2 linked regions of the Notamacropus eugenii genome follow. The protein of the gene in region 1 purifies or fractionates together with the protein of each later gene. This does not show direct contact. Links are inferred from orthologs where the notes say so. Each region holds a gene or a part of one and is shown in the gene's direction. Other genes may lie near its edges.

What was found. The genes of interacting proteins can lie anywhere in the genome.
Region 2: the proteins of NDEL1 (region 1) and DYNC1I1 purify together in Homo sapiens (affinity purification with western blotting; 3 studies listed by BioGRID and IntAct, with this or other methods). This does not show direct contact. The link is inferred for Notamacropus eugenii from reciprocal best matches to the Homo sapiens genes NDEL1 and DYNC1I1.

The regions. Positions count from the first base shown.
Region 1 is NC_092873.1:77,336,592-77,344,228, reverse strand, and holds the start of NDEL1 (nuclear distribution protein nudE-like 1), read left to right. Parts: upstream 1-4,619; 5' UTR 4,620-4,733; intron 4,734-7,637. UniProt on the Homo sapiens protein: Required for organization of the cellular microtubule array and microtubule anchoring at the centrosome. May regulate microtubule organization at least in part by targeting the microtubule severing protein KATNA1 to the centrosome.
Region 2 is NC_092874.1:942,362-949,864, forward strand, and holds the start of DYNC1I1 (cytoplasmic dynein 1 intermediate chain 1), read left to right. Parts: upstream 1-4,492; 5' UTR 4,493-4,737; intron 4,738-7,503. UniProt on the Homo sapiens protein: Acts as one of several non-catalytic accessory components of the cytoplasmic dynein 1 complex that are thought to be involved in linking dynein to cargos and to adapter proteins that regulate dynein function.

The DNA.
Region 1 (7,637 bases):
TAAGTTGTAAAAATTGGATTAAGGATTTTACATATACAATTGCACTGCTAATTGTAAAGAAGGTGATATTACTTTCCTATTTTAAATTTGTCTGATAATAATAAAAGACAGAAGTGTTCATTTTACAAGTTAGACACTCATGATATTTTTTATACATCACCTTCAATTTTTTTCATGTTGCATAGAAGAATTAAAATGAATGGGAGAAACCATAAGAAAAACAAAACAAAATAAAATATAACAAAAAGAGAAAATAGTCTGCTTCATTCTGCATTCTGACTCCATGCTTCTTTCTCTGGATGTGGATGACATTTTTCAACTCATGATTTTTTTTTAATAGATTCTTATGTCAGGTATAGGGTGTAGGTAAAGATAAAAATAGTAACTAGTCATATAAAAAACTAAAATTTTCTAAAGCCTCAGGTCAATTATGGGTTTCTAATTTGATGTCCTTCTTATATCTCTGTGGTTAATAGGATCAGAACCATAAGGCTTGAGTTGGTTTTCACCACATGAGCTAGTTATTGGAAAACCAAATTTAAAAGATTATATTAAATCACATTACTGTAGTCATGTATTTTGTATGCTACAGTCTTGTCTATTGTTCGGTCATTCAGTTGCATCTGACTCTTTGTCATCCTGTGAACCATATCTCCATGGGGTTTTCTTGGCAAAGATATTGGAGTGGTTTGTCATTCCCTCCTCCAATGGACTAAGGCAAACAGAAGCTAAGTAACTTGCCAAGGATCTAGTAAGTGTCTGAGGCCATATTTGAACTCAGTTCTTCTTGACTCAAGGCCTAGTGCTCTGAGCCACCTTGCTGCCTTTAATTATCTAGGAATCTCTACAAATGATTTAGAAAAAGAGAAGCGAAGTCCTCTTCAGAGCTATTCTGAAAATGAGGCCTATTTCAGAATGTCCAGAAGATATTTCCAGGGACCAGATGACCACATGGGAAAACTGAGACTTAAGACAATATGTGATGCTTAAGTGGACATTAACAGTGGATTACTAGAATAGAAGAAGACAATGTTATCTAATATTGATGATTATCACTGTATTATTTTGGCCTTTTGTTTCATGGTGTTTAGGTCTGCTGAAGTTATGTTGGTGATATAAATCTCCCTTCTCAAAATGAGTTCATTGTGAACCCTCTAGATAGTCTGATCTATAACCTGACTTATATAATTCCGATTATGAATATATGGAAAACCTTATAGATTTGACTTATAGATAAGTGATTTATAGGAGAGGGTGCCAGTCTCCTCTCCCAGGAATCAAAGGAGAAGAATCGTGGGAATTGAGTGAACCAAACTGATTCCATCTTGTGACTCAATTCTGGATCTAGTTCAGTTCCCTTTCTATTCAATTATGGATCTAGTCCAATTTCTGTCCTGCGAGAAAATGTTATTCAATTATAGGAATGGTGAGAAAACATTATTACATTTGCTTAAAACTAGCCTTGCATAGTTAGGAAGTTAGACTACCTCTACTTGTTGCTTAGAGAACTTTAACTAAGGACCTAGATTATGCTGACCAGAAACCCAGTCAGAACCAAGATCAAGGAGTTTTCTTACAATTCTACATCTCAAGGAACCCATATGTCTTAACTGAAAATTGGCCTATACTGGTTTTCTTGTTCCTTTGATTGAATATAGACATTTGAGGAGCAGGGGGAAAGTGAAACACTTCTTTTTTCCTTCTGACTTCAGGGAATTGCACCTGTTCACTCTACCTCTCCCAACTCAGAAAGTCCTTAACCTCTCTCCATTAGAAATCAGATTATCTAATTTGTATCTGGGTTTGTATCTTGTTAATTGTTTTCAATACATAAGGATGTCTCCTCCTGTATTAAGGGTCTAGTGCCAAGCTGAGGAGGCCTGGTTCCAATTTGTTATGCCATAGGCATATATTGCTTAATAAATTGATGCTTGAAACCTTGAACTTTTGTTTCCTCTGTGACTTCAGATTTCACCCATCACAATCTGGAGGTGGCCAAATTTTCATGACCTTGTGAATGATGGGTGCTCATCTTCAGTAGTTCATGTGTAACTTCCGCATGCCACTTCCAAGTGGATGGCTTCTGAATTTCTTTTTCTAGTATTTATCTTTCACTTACAATCCTGTAAACAATAGTTGTCTAATAGATGTTCTGCTCTCTCTACTATTCAATATTCTCTATTAACTGGCTTTGCCACTTATTAGCTGTGTGGCCTTGGTAAAGTCATGTCTCTCAAAGTCTCAGTTTTTTCTTCCATAGAATTACGGGGCTGGACTCTCAGACCTTAAGGTTCATTACAGCTGTAAATTCTATGACCTAAATTAAACTTGTCATCTTCCACCCAGACAAGTTATTCCACTCAGCTTCCTGATTTCTTGTCAACAAGTCACTGTTGTGTCACCCATATTTAAAACCTTGGAGTCATCATTGGACTCCTTCCTCTTCCTGTCATTCAAAAGTCCTCATAATCTTGCTGTACCCTTTTTAAATTTTACCTCTTATTATACCTCATTTTGAATTCTATCCAGTCAACCTGGTCCCATTGTCCATATCAAACTCATTCTTATCTACTGCTTCCCCTGCCACTACTTATACTATCCTTGGTGTGGTCCGGAGGAAAGAAGGTTAAAATTAGAGCAAAACCCAAGTTTCCTCATCTGTAAAATGTGGAGGTTGGATTAGAATCTTTTAGCTGAGGAATCTTTACCTGAGTCTCTTTTAGATGAGGAAATTGAGACCCAAATTGAGACCCAAAGAAGACCAGTGAAGGGATGTAATTTTTTCCCTTTTGCCCTAAAAACTTACTGTTTTTAAAAGAGAAAGACAGACCCCGAGAGGGGTAGAGGTGGTTGCTAGGAAAGCTCCTTACAAGAAGGGTTGGGGAAGCATAGACTTGAGCATTTAATTCAGATGGTCAGTGGATAACTGACAGCTCAGCTTGCTAGTTATCTGGTGGTAAAACGCACATTTCACTTCCTCTATGATTTTTTTTTTCCTAACCACCATGGCCTATATTGATGTCTTCTCTTCTTTTTTTTGCCTTGCATTATTTCCTTATTGCTATTTCATATTAACTATTATCTTTCCTACCAGGTGTATAAGTTCTTTCGGGTCAAGGACTTAGCCCGATGTTGTCTAACTTAGAGCCAGAAACAAAGTAGGCATTTAACAAATTCTGCTTTAATTCTTTTTATTTTCCTGTCCTACTGAAAAGTGACAGCAAATTCACTGATTCCATTTATTAAGCACCTACTATATTCAAAATTAATATTTTGCATAGTGAAATGACAAGATTTCCAACTATTCTGGGTAAGTTACGACCTATCTTAGGAAGGCAGGAGAAGCTAGATATTTTTGAGGAGACTGATGATGGATGTTACAAATCACAGTCAAGTCTACAAGGAAGGCAGTCCCCTGAAAAACTTCATGAATATCATAGATACCGGCCCTTATAAAGAAAACTGTTCCTAATTGTTTCTGATGTCCTTAATTTACCTGCCAGTCTAAAAGTATTTTACTTTGTGTTTGATGGAGGCCCCAGTCACCTTTGATCCCAAATCCCTTCTTCTCTCCCACTTTCTTCTCTTTTCGTTAAATGCCTCCTATCCAAACGGTAACCACACGCCGCCGCTGTCTTCCTTTGAAAGGTCCCTTGTATCCATTTCTCCCATTCTTCCGTTGCACGGATACATTTGTATCCTTCCTCTCCAGATTTTCTAAAATTAGCTTCAAGGGCAGCTTTGAAACTGACAAGAATTGTAAAAGAACCAGCATGAGGCGAGGGATGCACTGTCAGGCTTCTGTGATAAAGGCCGGGCTAGGGAACCCGCCGCCTCGAGGCCACACGTGGCCCTCTAGGGCCTCAAGCGCGTGCTCCCCGCCTTTGAGCTAGCTGGAAGGGACCATAGGGTCCATCGGGCCCGAGTGGTTCTCCTAGTGTGGTCCAGAGGGTTCCAGAGATCTTTTCAGGCTGTCCGCTAGGAGGAAGGTATTTTCATGATAATACAAAGACGTTTTAATTTCGAATACAGCAAATATTAATAAATAACTCACATAGACAAAAGCTCTTTTTGGGGGGATATCCTCAGTCACTTTTAAGAGCGTAAAGACGGTTTAAGGTTAAAAAAAATCTTTTTACATTATTTTACATTAGAGGAGACTGAGGCCCGGCTACACAGCAGGTGACCAGGAGGGAGGGTGGGACTCCGACCCGATCGAGCTCGGCCTCCGTGCCCACGCAGGGGAGGCCAACTCTTCCCCAGGAGGAGCCCCGGGACGACCGGCCGCGGACCGTGGTGGAGGAAGCGGGCGGGGCCCTGCGCTCAGCTCCGTGCGGCAGCCTCTGCGCTTGCGCAGGAACTCCGCCACGCTCTCCCACTCCTGCGTGGCTGGCCCGAGCTGTCCCGAATAGCCGCCCTCACCTTCTTCTTCCCCTCCCCTCCCCTCCCCTCCCCGTGACGCCATCCTTCTCCCTTCCCTTCGGGCCCGGGAGCCCGGACGCTCCGAACCCACACCCCTCTCCGCGCTGCGTCACAGAGCGGCTTGTGACGGCCCCGCCCGCCAGAAGTATCGCGCGCGGAGGTCGGTGCGCGTGACGCGGCACGGGGGAGGAGGCGAGAGCGAGAGCGAGCTCGCTGGAGAAGGCTAGAAAGGAGGCGGAATCGAGGCGCCGAGGACGGAGTCCGGTCCGGTCCAGTCTGGTCCGCGAAAATGTCCGTTTGACACCGTCCAGGTGAGACTGACGCGCCGAAAGGACCGGAAGGGCCCGGGCTGGGCGGCTGGTTCGGGCCTCTCCGCCGGCCCGCGGCCTCGGGACTTGGGGCGGGGCGGGGCCGGGCCCGGCTCCCCGGGGGCTGCCGGCCCAGCCAGCCTACCTGCAGGGGCCGCGCCCGGGCCAGCCCGGCGCTGTCAGTCCGTCGGCCCCGCGCTCCCGTGCGGGAGTGGCCGCGCCCACCAGGACCTCCGCACCCCTCTCGGGAGATGGAGGGCCCGGGGCAGGGGAGACGGCGGAGGCGCTGCGAGAGGGCCGCGCGCCGGGGACCATCCGGGACGTGGCACGGCGGGCACCGGGGACCATCCGGGACGTGGCACGGCGGGCACCGGGGACCATCCCGGACGTGGCACGGCGGGCACCGGGGCTGGCCCAGCCGTACCGACAGGGTGGGGGTGCGGAGGTCGCGACGTGCCCTCCCTTCCCTGGGGGCAGGCCTTGGGCTCCATTCAGTGTCCCCAGGTGTTTTCAGGTCGCTTCTCGAGTGTCGCGGAGGAACCGTTGGCATCGCAGCCTTGGTTTTTTTTCCTAGAGCTGGAAGGGACCTCGAGCTGTCTAGTCCAACCCCCCTCATCTTACAGATGAGAAAACCAAGGTTTAATGATTTGCCCTAGAACACACAGGTAGTATCCCAGGTAGGATTTGGCCCCAGCCCTTTGAATCCAGAGCCGGCGCTCTGCCCACTGTACTGAGCTGCAGGTGCCTTACTCTTTTTCCCAAGTATATAATTGAATGGTGATACTGTCTTACAGTTCGGCGATTCTTCCAAGCACTTGGACGTATTCTATTTATGCCTTTAAGTCCCAGCTAAAATCAGACCACAGACGGGAAGCCTTCCCTGTGTCCTTTGGTATTTATCCTGTAGATAGCTTGCTTTGTATATCTTGGTTTGCATTTTGTCTGCCCTTTAGACTGTAAGCGCCTTGAGGGCAGGGACTCTCTTTTCCCTCTTTTTGCGTCCTCGGGGGTTAGCACCCTGCCTGACACTTAATAAACGTTTATTGAATTGAATTTGAACCTGAAAGTGGAGCTGGGACCAAAAACTGTGTCCTCCCGATACCTTTCTCAGCTGATTGAAGTTCATCAATCAGTCAATCTCAGCTACTTCAGTTAGAGTGAATCTAATTAGCTTTCTTCCATTCTAATTTCTGACTTTAACTCTGGGGAAAAATTGAAGTCAAATTAGAGAACTTTGAAAAATAAATAAAACCTTAGAATATTTTTGTTTTAACAAGAAGGTTTAAAAGAGTATTTGATGGGCTTGTTGGCTGCTAGAGGATAGTTAGTGACAACTGTAAATAAGCTGCAGTAGCATAAAGCTTTTCTAAATACTGTACTTAGATACAAAAGTAAATTTAGACTAAGATGGAGTGATTTGATAAGCAGGCTGTTGCAAGAGATGTCTACTGAATTGAGTTCTTAGTAGCTATGTATGCCATGTACAGTATAATAGTGCTTGACATAAGACTTGTCCTGCTGGGTCAGATTTGGGATAGGACATCCAGTCCAGTATTCTGTCTCTGATCATGGTGTTCAGGGATCCAGCCTTGAGTTTTAGGCTTAACTAATCCAGACTTTTTATTGAACTTTGGAGCCTTCACTTTTCACCACATTCTGAACCCCCCCACTAAAGGCATTGTGCCTTTTTTATGTACTTTCCTGGGTCACTGAACCAAAGGTTGGCCATTTGGGTCTGTAGCTCTGCTGCAACTGCTCCTAATTTGTCATTATTAAGGTGTTGCTACAAAGAAGCAGGTGTCCTGTTTTACATCAGCTTCTTTTTCTCTTTTTATCCTGTTTCCACATGCTTCAGATCATGAAAGCTTTTTTTTTTTTAAAGAATTCGTTTACCAGGGAAAAGAGAACATAGAAATTCATAAATAATTCAGGACAAGGTAATTAGAAATAAGCTAATTTCAGACTTAGTACCACCTAAACTTTTTAACCTATGACTTAAATAAACTTCTCCTGGCCAGGTGGGTGCTGACCCTCTTCTAGCTTGGTAAACTCATGCTGCCATGGCTGACTCTGTCATGACTGCATCAAAGAATATTGTCTTGGCTACTAGAATGCTACCAGTCTGATTTTGAGATTCCTCACTTGGGTGTGCTGGGTCAAACTCTTTTGCCTATTATATAAGTTGGATCTCTCTCAGCCAATCAGGAAGTGACTGGATGCAATGACTTTTGGTCCTTCCTCCCACATTCCTATATAATCACTTTCTATCTCCTCCCCCACCAAATAAATACAAACAGGTAAATGCTACAGTCTCTCCATACTTCAAAAATCAGAATGATGCAACCCAACAAATAAATTACTCCAAAATTTACAAAAGACAACTCCTTAAACTGTGGTACCATAGAATAGGCCAAGCTTTCTCATTTCACAGATGAAGAAAAGAGCCCAGGGAAGTTATGTGAATTATCCTACTAGGTCATGCACCTAATAAATGTTTGAAATGGGATTTGAACTCAGATCTTCCTGATTCTGCCTGTCCAGCATTCTATCCACTGTACCTTGGTGACTTAAAAAATGGTCTCTATTCTGTGTATCTTTTATTAATTAAGTTATATTCCTTGCTTTTTCCTTGTCTTCATGCTTTTTTTCTTTTTATCTCTTTAAAAAAAACCCATCAACGAAGCTTTGATTTCTTTGGCAAAATAGGGTTACTTTCAATAAGTTGTTTGCCAGAGTGTTTTGATCTTATGTTTTCTTGGAGATCTCTGTTATGTTTCATTTTGCTTGGCATGAGTCTGTTGTTCCCGTAGGGTGCTTAAGAATCCCTTTTTATGGATTGAAGCATGACTTTCTCCACTTTTGCATTGCTAACTTCTTGGAGGTTGTAAGCAAACTTTTTATGTCCTG
Region 2 (7,503 bases), on another chromosome or scaffold:
GCAAGGAATAAATCATGTTTCAGATTGATAGGTGGGGAGCAGCTCATAACCAAATAATGGCTAGAGACAATACAAGAAGCTAAAATGGAAAATTCTGATTATACAAAATTTGAAAGTTTTTGCACAAACAAAGCCAATGCAGCTAAGATTAGAAGGTAAACCATTAATAGACAAGTCTTTAAAATGAGTTTCTCTGATAAAGGTCTCCTTTCCAAGATATATAAATATTAGAGCCATTCACCAGTTGAAAATGACCAAAGGACATAAACATGCAGTTCTCAGATGAAGAAATTCAAGTTATCAAGAGTCAAATGAAAAAATTCCTCAAAAAACTAAGAATTAGAGACTGCTAATTAAAGCAACTTTGAGGCTGCACTTTCTCTTCATTTGACTGGCAAAGCTAATTGAAACAAAAGCAAAATGACAAGTGTCAGAGGGGCTATAAACAGACATGTCGATGCACTATTGGTGGAACTGTGAATTGACATTATCTTTCTGGAAAGCAATTTGGAACTGTGCCACGAAATCATGAAACTGTGTCGTTTCACCCAATAAACAGTACTAGACCTCTGCCATCAAAAAAAGAGGACAAGCCACTCACACAGACAAAAATATGGATAGCAGCTCTTTTTGAGGTGGCAAAGAGCAGTAAACTGAGGAAGTGCCCATCAATTGCGGTATGGCTGAGTTATGGTAATGAATGTGCTTCATTCATACGTTGCACAGTAGAAACCTGGGAAGCCTTTTATGAGCTGATGTAGACTAAGATGTGCACAATAACCTCAGGTGCTCTGATCAGTGTAATGATCATGGAAGATAAAATTTGTAGGCGCTTCATCTACGCTTCCCTTCCCTGCCCTCGTCCTTCCCTAATGACCAGCCAAGAGTTCAGAGTTTATAAGGAAGCGCAGAGTTACTGAGAGGGAAGGATGAAAGGGCAGAATGGGTCAGACTTTTGGATATCAAGATGGGATTATGCTTATTGGCTACAAGGGTTTTGTTCTTTTCCAATGGAAGGGCTGGAATAAATATTTGAAAACAGAAAAATAAAATTTAACTACAAAAACAAGGCTTGGAACGGATGACAAGTCCCTAACTGGTTTCAGGTCCAGCAGGATTCATCAGAGAATCCCCATCAGAGAATCCACCAACTCTGCTCAGCAGAGTGAACGAAGCTTTTTCCCAGTCCCACTTCCTGTCCTAAACACAACAATCTATCTCACAAATAGGAACCTTGCTTCTGGAAAGAACAAGTCAGAGCTGAGTGGATCCATTTGCCATCATCATCTAGAACCTGAGATCATCTAGAACCAAGCTCCCTTTCCCGGTCAACACTCTCCTATATGGTTGGAATTTATCAATGAGAATGTTGGTTCATCAAGGGGAGGATCTGTCTCACTTCTGCACTGACATCATCTATGTTCGGTAGAGCCTGGCAAACAGCAGGCTTAATAAATGGTTTGTTGGTCCATTCATTCATTGGTCCATCTGCTCATCGTGACCTCAAGGAGAGTGAGCTCCCTCCTTCCTTCTGTGGTGGCCCATTCCACTTCTGGACAGTGCTCATGGTTAAGCAGCATATATCAATCCTCAGTCTGCCCATTTGCAAATTGGAGTACTGTCCACAGGTCTGTCTTCTCATCTGAACTGAAGAAATCTAACCTTCTTCCAAGGGACAACCCCCCAAACACCTTCCTGTCCTTCCTGCCTTCCAAGTCTTTCCTTCTCCATTCTAAACATGTCCAGTTTCTTCAACCAATCTTTCAAGGACAGAATCTCTAGGCCCTCACTGCCCTCTGAGCATTCCCTCTCTCTCAACCACCTCCCTCCTTGTCAGAAACTTTGTCCACAACCATCTCAACATCCATGACCCATATGTTCCTCCACACCAACCCCAGCCATCCCCCTAGGTGGCATGACCTATCAATGTATCATCTTCATGTTCTTGAACAGTGACCCTTCTTCCTCTGATAATAACCATCTTCTATCGCTCCCACTCTTCACCCTGACCTCACTGAAATGCCCCCCATGACCCTCCCTGCTCTGTTCTGTCCCAGCTCTGGCCTCACTTTAGAGTCTTGATTTTCCAATCTCCTTTACTCTTAAATACCTTCTCCTTTTGCTTCCCTCTGGTCAGGCCCAGGGCCACCACCTCTATTCACCATCTTTGCTCCTACATCTCTCTGTACTGCTGAGTGGTGGATCTTGTAGCTCACTACAAACTCACGTTATATAATCTCCATCCCCCACCCCACCCACATTGCTACACACCAATCCTTTTAGTCTTAGTCATTGACTCCATTTCACTCCTCCCCTCAGTGTTTCTTCTGGAGAGGTAAGTCACTTGGTCAGATTCACCTGCTTAAAGCGAGGACATTCTGTCTGGCATGTGGGTCCCCCAGAACATTCATTCCAGGCTCAAGGTACACTATAAGTCCACAGTCATACGAAGCCGAAGCTAACGAGATCCTCGATGTGTTTACATACTAAGTCTCAGTGCGAATTATAACAAATTCCTTGAAATTGTGGTATTCAGATTGGCACTCCATATTTTCTTTGGGTTGGAACCAATTATCATTTTTTACATAATTATAACCTTAAATCATGTGAATTCAAATTTACACTGATTAGGATCCAGCTTCCTTTTATAATTCAGCCAGAGGCCACAATTATCATATTATAGCATATTAAGAACATTAATGAAATGGCACATTAAGACCAGTAGTAGCAAGACATCCCTTCCAACCTGAGGTGCATTCTTCTACAGTTGTACACACTGCCAGTGGGCAGAGTGAATCTGCATAGATATAACCAATGGAGTCATGAATATATGGAACATGTGTAGCCAGAGCACATGTGTGGTGATGCCTCTAGTAATGCAGGGATGCTGATATTATCTAGCAAAGAGACCTTGCTCCTCTTGCCTGAGCCTACTCCCTTCTAGTGTTGCTCCCTGCTGTCTTTTGGGGGCCACATTTTTCTCTCCTCAGCTTCTTGGCTTCCTCCTATCAAGGCCATTTTGACCTCTATTTGATAGGGCAATTCCAGGGATTAGGAAGTCTCCCTGATAAGGGCTGAGTGGTCAATCTTTAATCATGGCTCAAGCCACCACACCTAGCCAAAAGTCTTGGAACAAAAGCCAGGCAGAGTGGCTGATGTTTAGGATTGTGTATTCTTTTAACTTCTTTTAGCTGCCAGGGCCAACACCTCTGTTCCAACCCTCTCTCTGACTTTGGGTTAGAAAATCCTCATTATTTTTTTAACTCTGAAGAGTTCCTAATTGTTAGCCTGCATTCTGCTCAAATCACTTTGGGACTATGTTCTACCAAACCATAAAGGGTGTAGATGTGATTCACCATCCCTTCCCTCAAACCCCAAGCCCTCTAGATCTGGCCACAAAAAATGAATATGCCCAAACTCAAAAATTAAGCTGATGGACTTAGTTCTGATACTCCAACTTCCAGGCCTTTTCATAGGACCATAGTTTAAAGCAGGAAGGAAACTTGTAGGTCATGGAAAGCAATATCTGCCTTTTATATTTGAGAACACAGAGATCCAGGGAGGTGAGAGCACTTGTCCAAGGTCACACAAGGAGAAGGAGTGAGCAGTAGATCTGGTAAACTTTATTTTAGCATATTTGTCAAAGCAGGCCTTCTTCTGAGCTTCCATTGCCTGGGAGATTTCCCACTGACTTCTTCATGGTTCTCTGCTCTTGGTTTTGTACCCCACCCTCTGTCATTTTGTTTTTGTATTTTGGGTTTTCCCTACAATGGAGGAAAGAAGGCTGATACCTCTGCTCCTTCTCCCTCTTCTTCCCCTCCTCCCCAGTGACTCTCTGGAGTTTGTGAATTTTTTAACATTTTTAATTAGCCAGTTAGGAAACAAGCATTGATCGAGTACACACACACACACACACACACACACACAACACACACATGCAACACACACAACACACACACACAGCTGTGAGTGTGGGGATGGGAAATATGCCTAGTAAATGTGCACGTGATGTGTGTGCTGTCTGGGTGCATGGGAGAGACAGACACAGAAAGACAGAGGCAGAGAGAGGCAGAGGCTTAGAGGAGGAGGGGCAGGGTGCTCATGTCTTCCTTTCCCGCAGGTGTGTCGGCCCTCCATTTGATTCCTCCAGCTGAAGGACAAGATGGCCTCCAGAGGACTGGGGGGAGGCTGCCCCAAGAGGCTAACCAGGAGGGGTCTTGCAGAGACTTAGAGTAGGGGGTTGTGGGTTCCCGTGCCACCTTTGCTATGTATAACCCTGACCAACTCCTTTCACCTGCATGGGCCTCAGTTTCCTCCTCTGTTAAATTCACCGGATAGCCCCTCGGGTCCTGCGCAGCCCCAAGTCTACCAGCCTGGGTCAGGGTCTGGGTTCGGGTTAGTGCCGGGATGGGGGAGGGGACGCTGGGGCGGTTTGGGGAGGAGCTCAGGGGCGGGGAGGAGCCGGAGGTGATGGGGGTGGGAGGGTCCCCAGCCGTGACACAGCACCGCAGCACCGCCAGCCAGCCAGGCAGTCTGTCCGTCAATCCACTGCTTCGGAGCGCTGCGCAGAGGCCGAGGACCGACCAAGCTGGACTGTGGCAGCTGCCGACGGGCTCGGGCTCCTCCCTCCTGCCTCCTCCATCCTCCTTCCTCCCTTCTGCCATCACCGCCGCAGCCGCCACTGCCTGAGCTCATCCCAGAGGCCCGGGTCCTTAGCCCCAGCTGCTGCAGTGCCAGGTAACCAGCCCCCGCGCCCCTGACCGAGACCGTGACGCGCTTCCCTTGGGCCCAAGGGCAGCCGGAGTGGGGGACCAGCGCGAAGGCAGAACCGGGGAATGGGAGATGGGAGATGATGGGAGATGGGGGATGGGGAGCAACCCCCTTTACCGCCTCCCTTCCCCCCAGCTCCCGGGAAGAGTGAGCAGGCCAGGGAAGTCCGCGCGCGCCCTCCCCAAACAATCCCTTATTCCCCGGCCCTGAGGGAGGGGGACGTCTCCAACCAAGCCAGAGCCCAGAGAGCTGAGCTGCCCTGGAGGCCATGGGATGCTGCAGCGCAAGCCCACGCCCTTGCCACGCCCTCGCTAGGGCAGGGCCGGCCAGCTGCTTTGTACACTCCCTCTCCCCGGGGATGTGGGAGCATTTTTCCTCTTCGAGGTTAAAAAAACAAAAACAAAAAAAGCAACCTAGTCTTGGGCAAGGTCGGGGGAGGGGTTGTCCTCTCTGCCCCTGACCTCCAGTTACCTCTTGGCCTTGCTCCCACCCCCCACGTCTCCGTGCTCTTAGCTCCATCATCCTCCCGCACTTGCAGGAGGGTACCCTGAAGGTGTGAACTAGAAGTCTACGGATGATCTCGGGGCTGGGCCCTTCCCCCACAGCCAGGGTCTCATGACTCAGAGTTGGGGGAGAGCACCGCAAAGGTGTGAGAATGAATCCGCTGTGCTTTTGGGGAGACTCATCGCAAGCGCAAACAGAAGGGTCCCCTCAGAATTCCTGCTTGGAATCCTCGTGGGACAAAGAACTCGCCTCCTTGGGCTCCCTCTCCCCATCTTGGTTCGTTTCTTCCAGAAAAGGATAGAGATTCTCTCACTGAGCTTGTCTTTAGCCACCAGTCTTTCCCCCTCGGTCCCAAGTCGCTGACGTCTTGTCATGAGAAGAAGGCCCCTTTCCTTGGCAGTCTAGGTATGAGTGCGTCAAGGTTCCCTCTGTCTTTCTTCTTCCCATCCCTGTCTTGGGCCATTTCCACAGCAGAAGCAGAACCTTAGACGAGCTTCGACCCTCAGAGTAAGCCCAAGAGACCAGCCTTGTGAATGTATTTCAGAAGCCATTAGGCAGAGTTCTGGCTGGGAAATGGGGTGGGGGAGGGGGCTCCAGTTGGTCAGCTATCTTCAGCCAGTGCTTGCCCAGTGCTAAATTCAGAGAACCTGGGTAGGGTTTTCAGGCTATGCCCTCATCTGCCAACCTGCTCCATGAAGAGGAAGAAAGGCAAGTAAAAGCATCAGCTGAGCGGAAACAATTTCTTTGAAATCCACTGTCTGATTTCCTTTGCATTCGACCTCATTTCTTTTCAAGCCTGGTAATGGTCAAAGGGTTACAGCAGGTCATTTCATGGTGTCACTCAATATATCCTTGTTAGCAAGACTAACAGAGAGACTTCTGGTGGGCTGCATGACAGCTCTGTCAGGGACATTCAGAACTAGTTCAAGGATTAGAGTGGATGGTTTGTTGGTATCATGAAAGGAGGTCTTAGTGGCCCTCCCTAAAGGTCAGCATTTGGCCCTGCTCTGCTCAGCATTTTTGTCAACATCTTGGATGTAGCATAGTTGGAATACTAGTCACATTGGACAGCACCAAGCTGGGCAGTCTGGTGAGTAGATTGGAGTCCAACAGGCTAGACAGGATCTAAAATGATGCCCTTTAACAAGGAAAAAGGAAGTTTTACATTTGGACTCAAGAAATGAAAGTAGGGACCCAGTGGCTAGACCTCCAGTGGAACCCTGGGGATTTTAATGTTGGACTTCAGGCTGAGTCACGAAGGTAGCAGGACAGCAGAAAAACCAGAGACGTTTGTACCCTGGTCTGGTTAGGCATGGAGTTCAGGTCATATTCACTACGTTTGAAGAGTCTCTCCACCTCTCTAAGCAGTGATCCTCAGGACAGTTTCAGAGATCATTTTATTGAGCCTATCATGTTGGCCAGGAAAAGTCATGTGACTTTGACTCTGAGACTTAGGGGCCCTCAGAGCTCTCCTGGTCCAACCCAGACCTGAATCAGAAGTCCGGTTCTAGTTTCCCAAGTCAGGGGTCATTTATACTCGACTTGGGCACTTCCCGTCACTGGTTAGAGAGGTGGAGGGAACCTTAGAAATCCTCTGGCTGTGTCCTCTCATGATACAGATAAGGAAGTTGAGGCACAAAGACAGTCAAGTGATGTCTTCAAGGTGACTCAGGGAGTTAGCAGCAGAAATTTGCATCCATGGCCCTTCCCTGTGCATAAGGTGACCTCAAGAGAGTGAAGCCATCCCCATTGCTTCTAGGAGCTGATTTTCCCCTGGCCTTGTTCCTCTGTGCTCATTTCATGGGCAGAAATAGAGTGATACCATTTGAAAGGGCCCTCCTTGCTCATGTGTTAGTTGTGAGCACCCATGTGCTCCCGTGGCTGGTCCTCAGCTCCCAGACCCTTAGTAAGAATGCATTATTGGTTGTGGAAAGATATGAATGAAAAGAAAAAGGATGAGCAGAGCTTGACACAGTGAAGGAAGCATGAAAATGGAAGATCAATTCCATGAAACAGCACTCTGTGTTATCAGGGTGACAAGTCTTCTCCTGTGAGAAGAAACAAGAAGCGTCCATCCTTCCTATGGTTGGGGAGGTGGGGGACTGTGGGCGTGGAATGTCGTATACTCTGTCACACAGAAGTCTCTTGGTATTGTCAAATTGCTCTTAATTTGTCACTATGGAAGGCTTGTTAGGGTAGGTCCACATCTGGAAATAACTGGCATAAAAA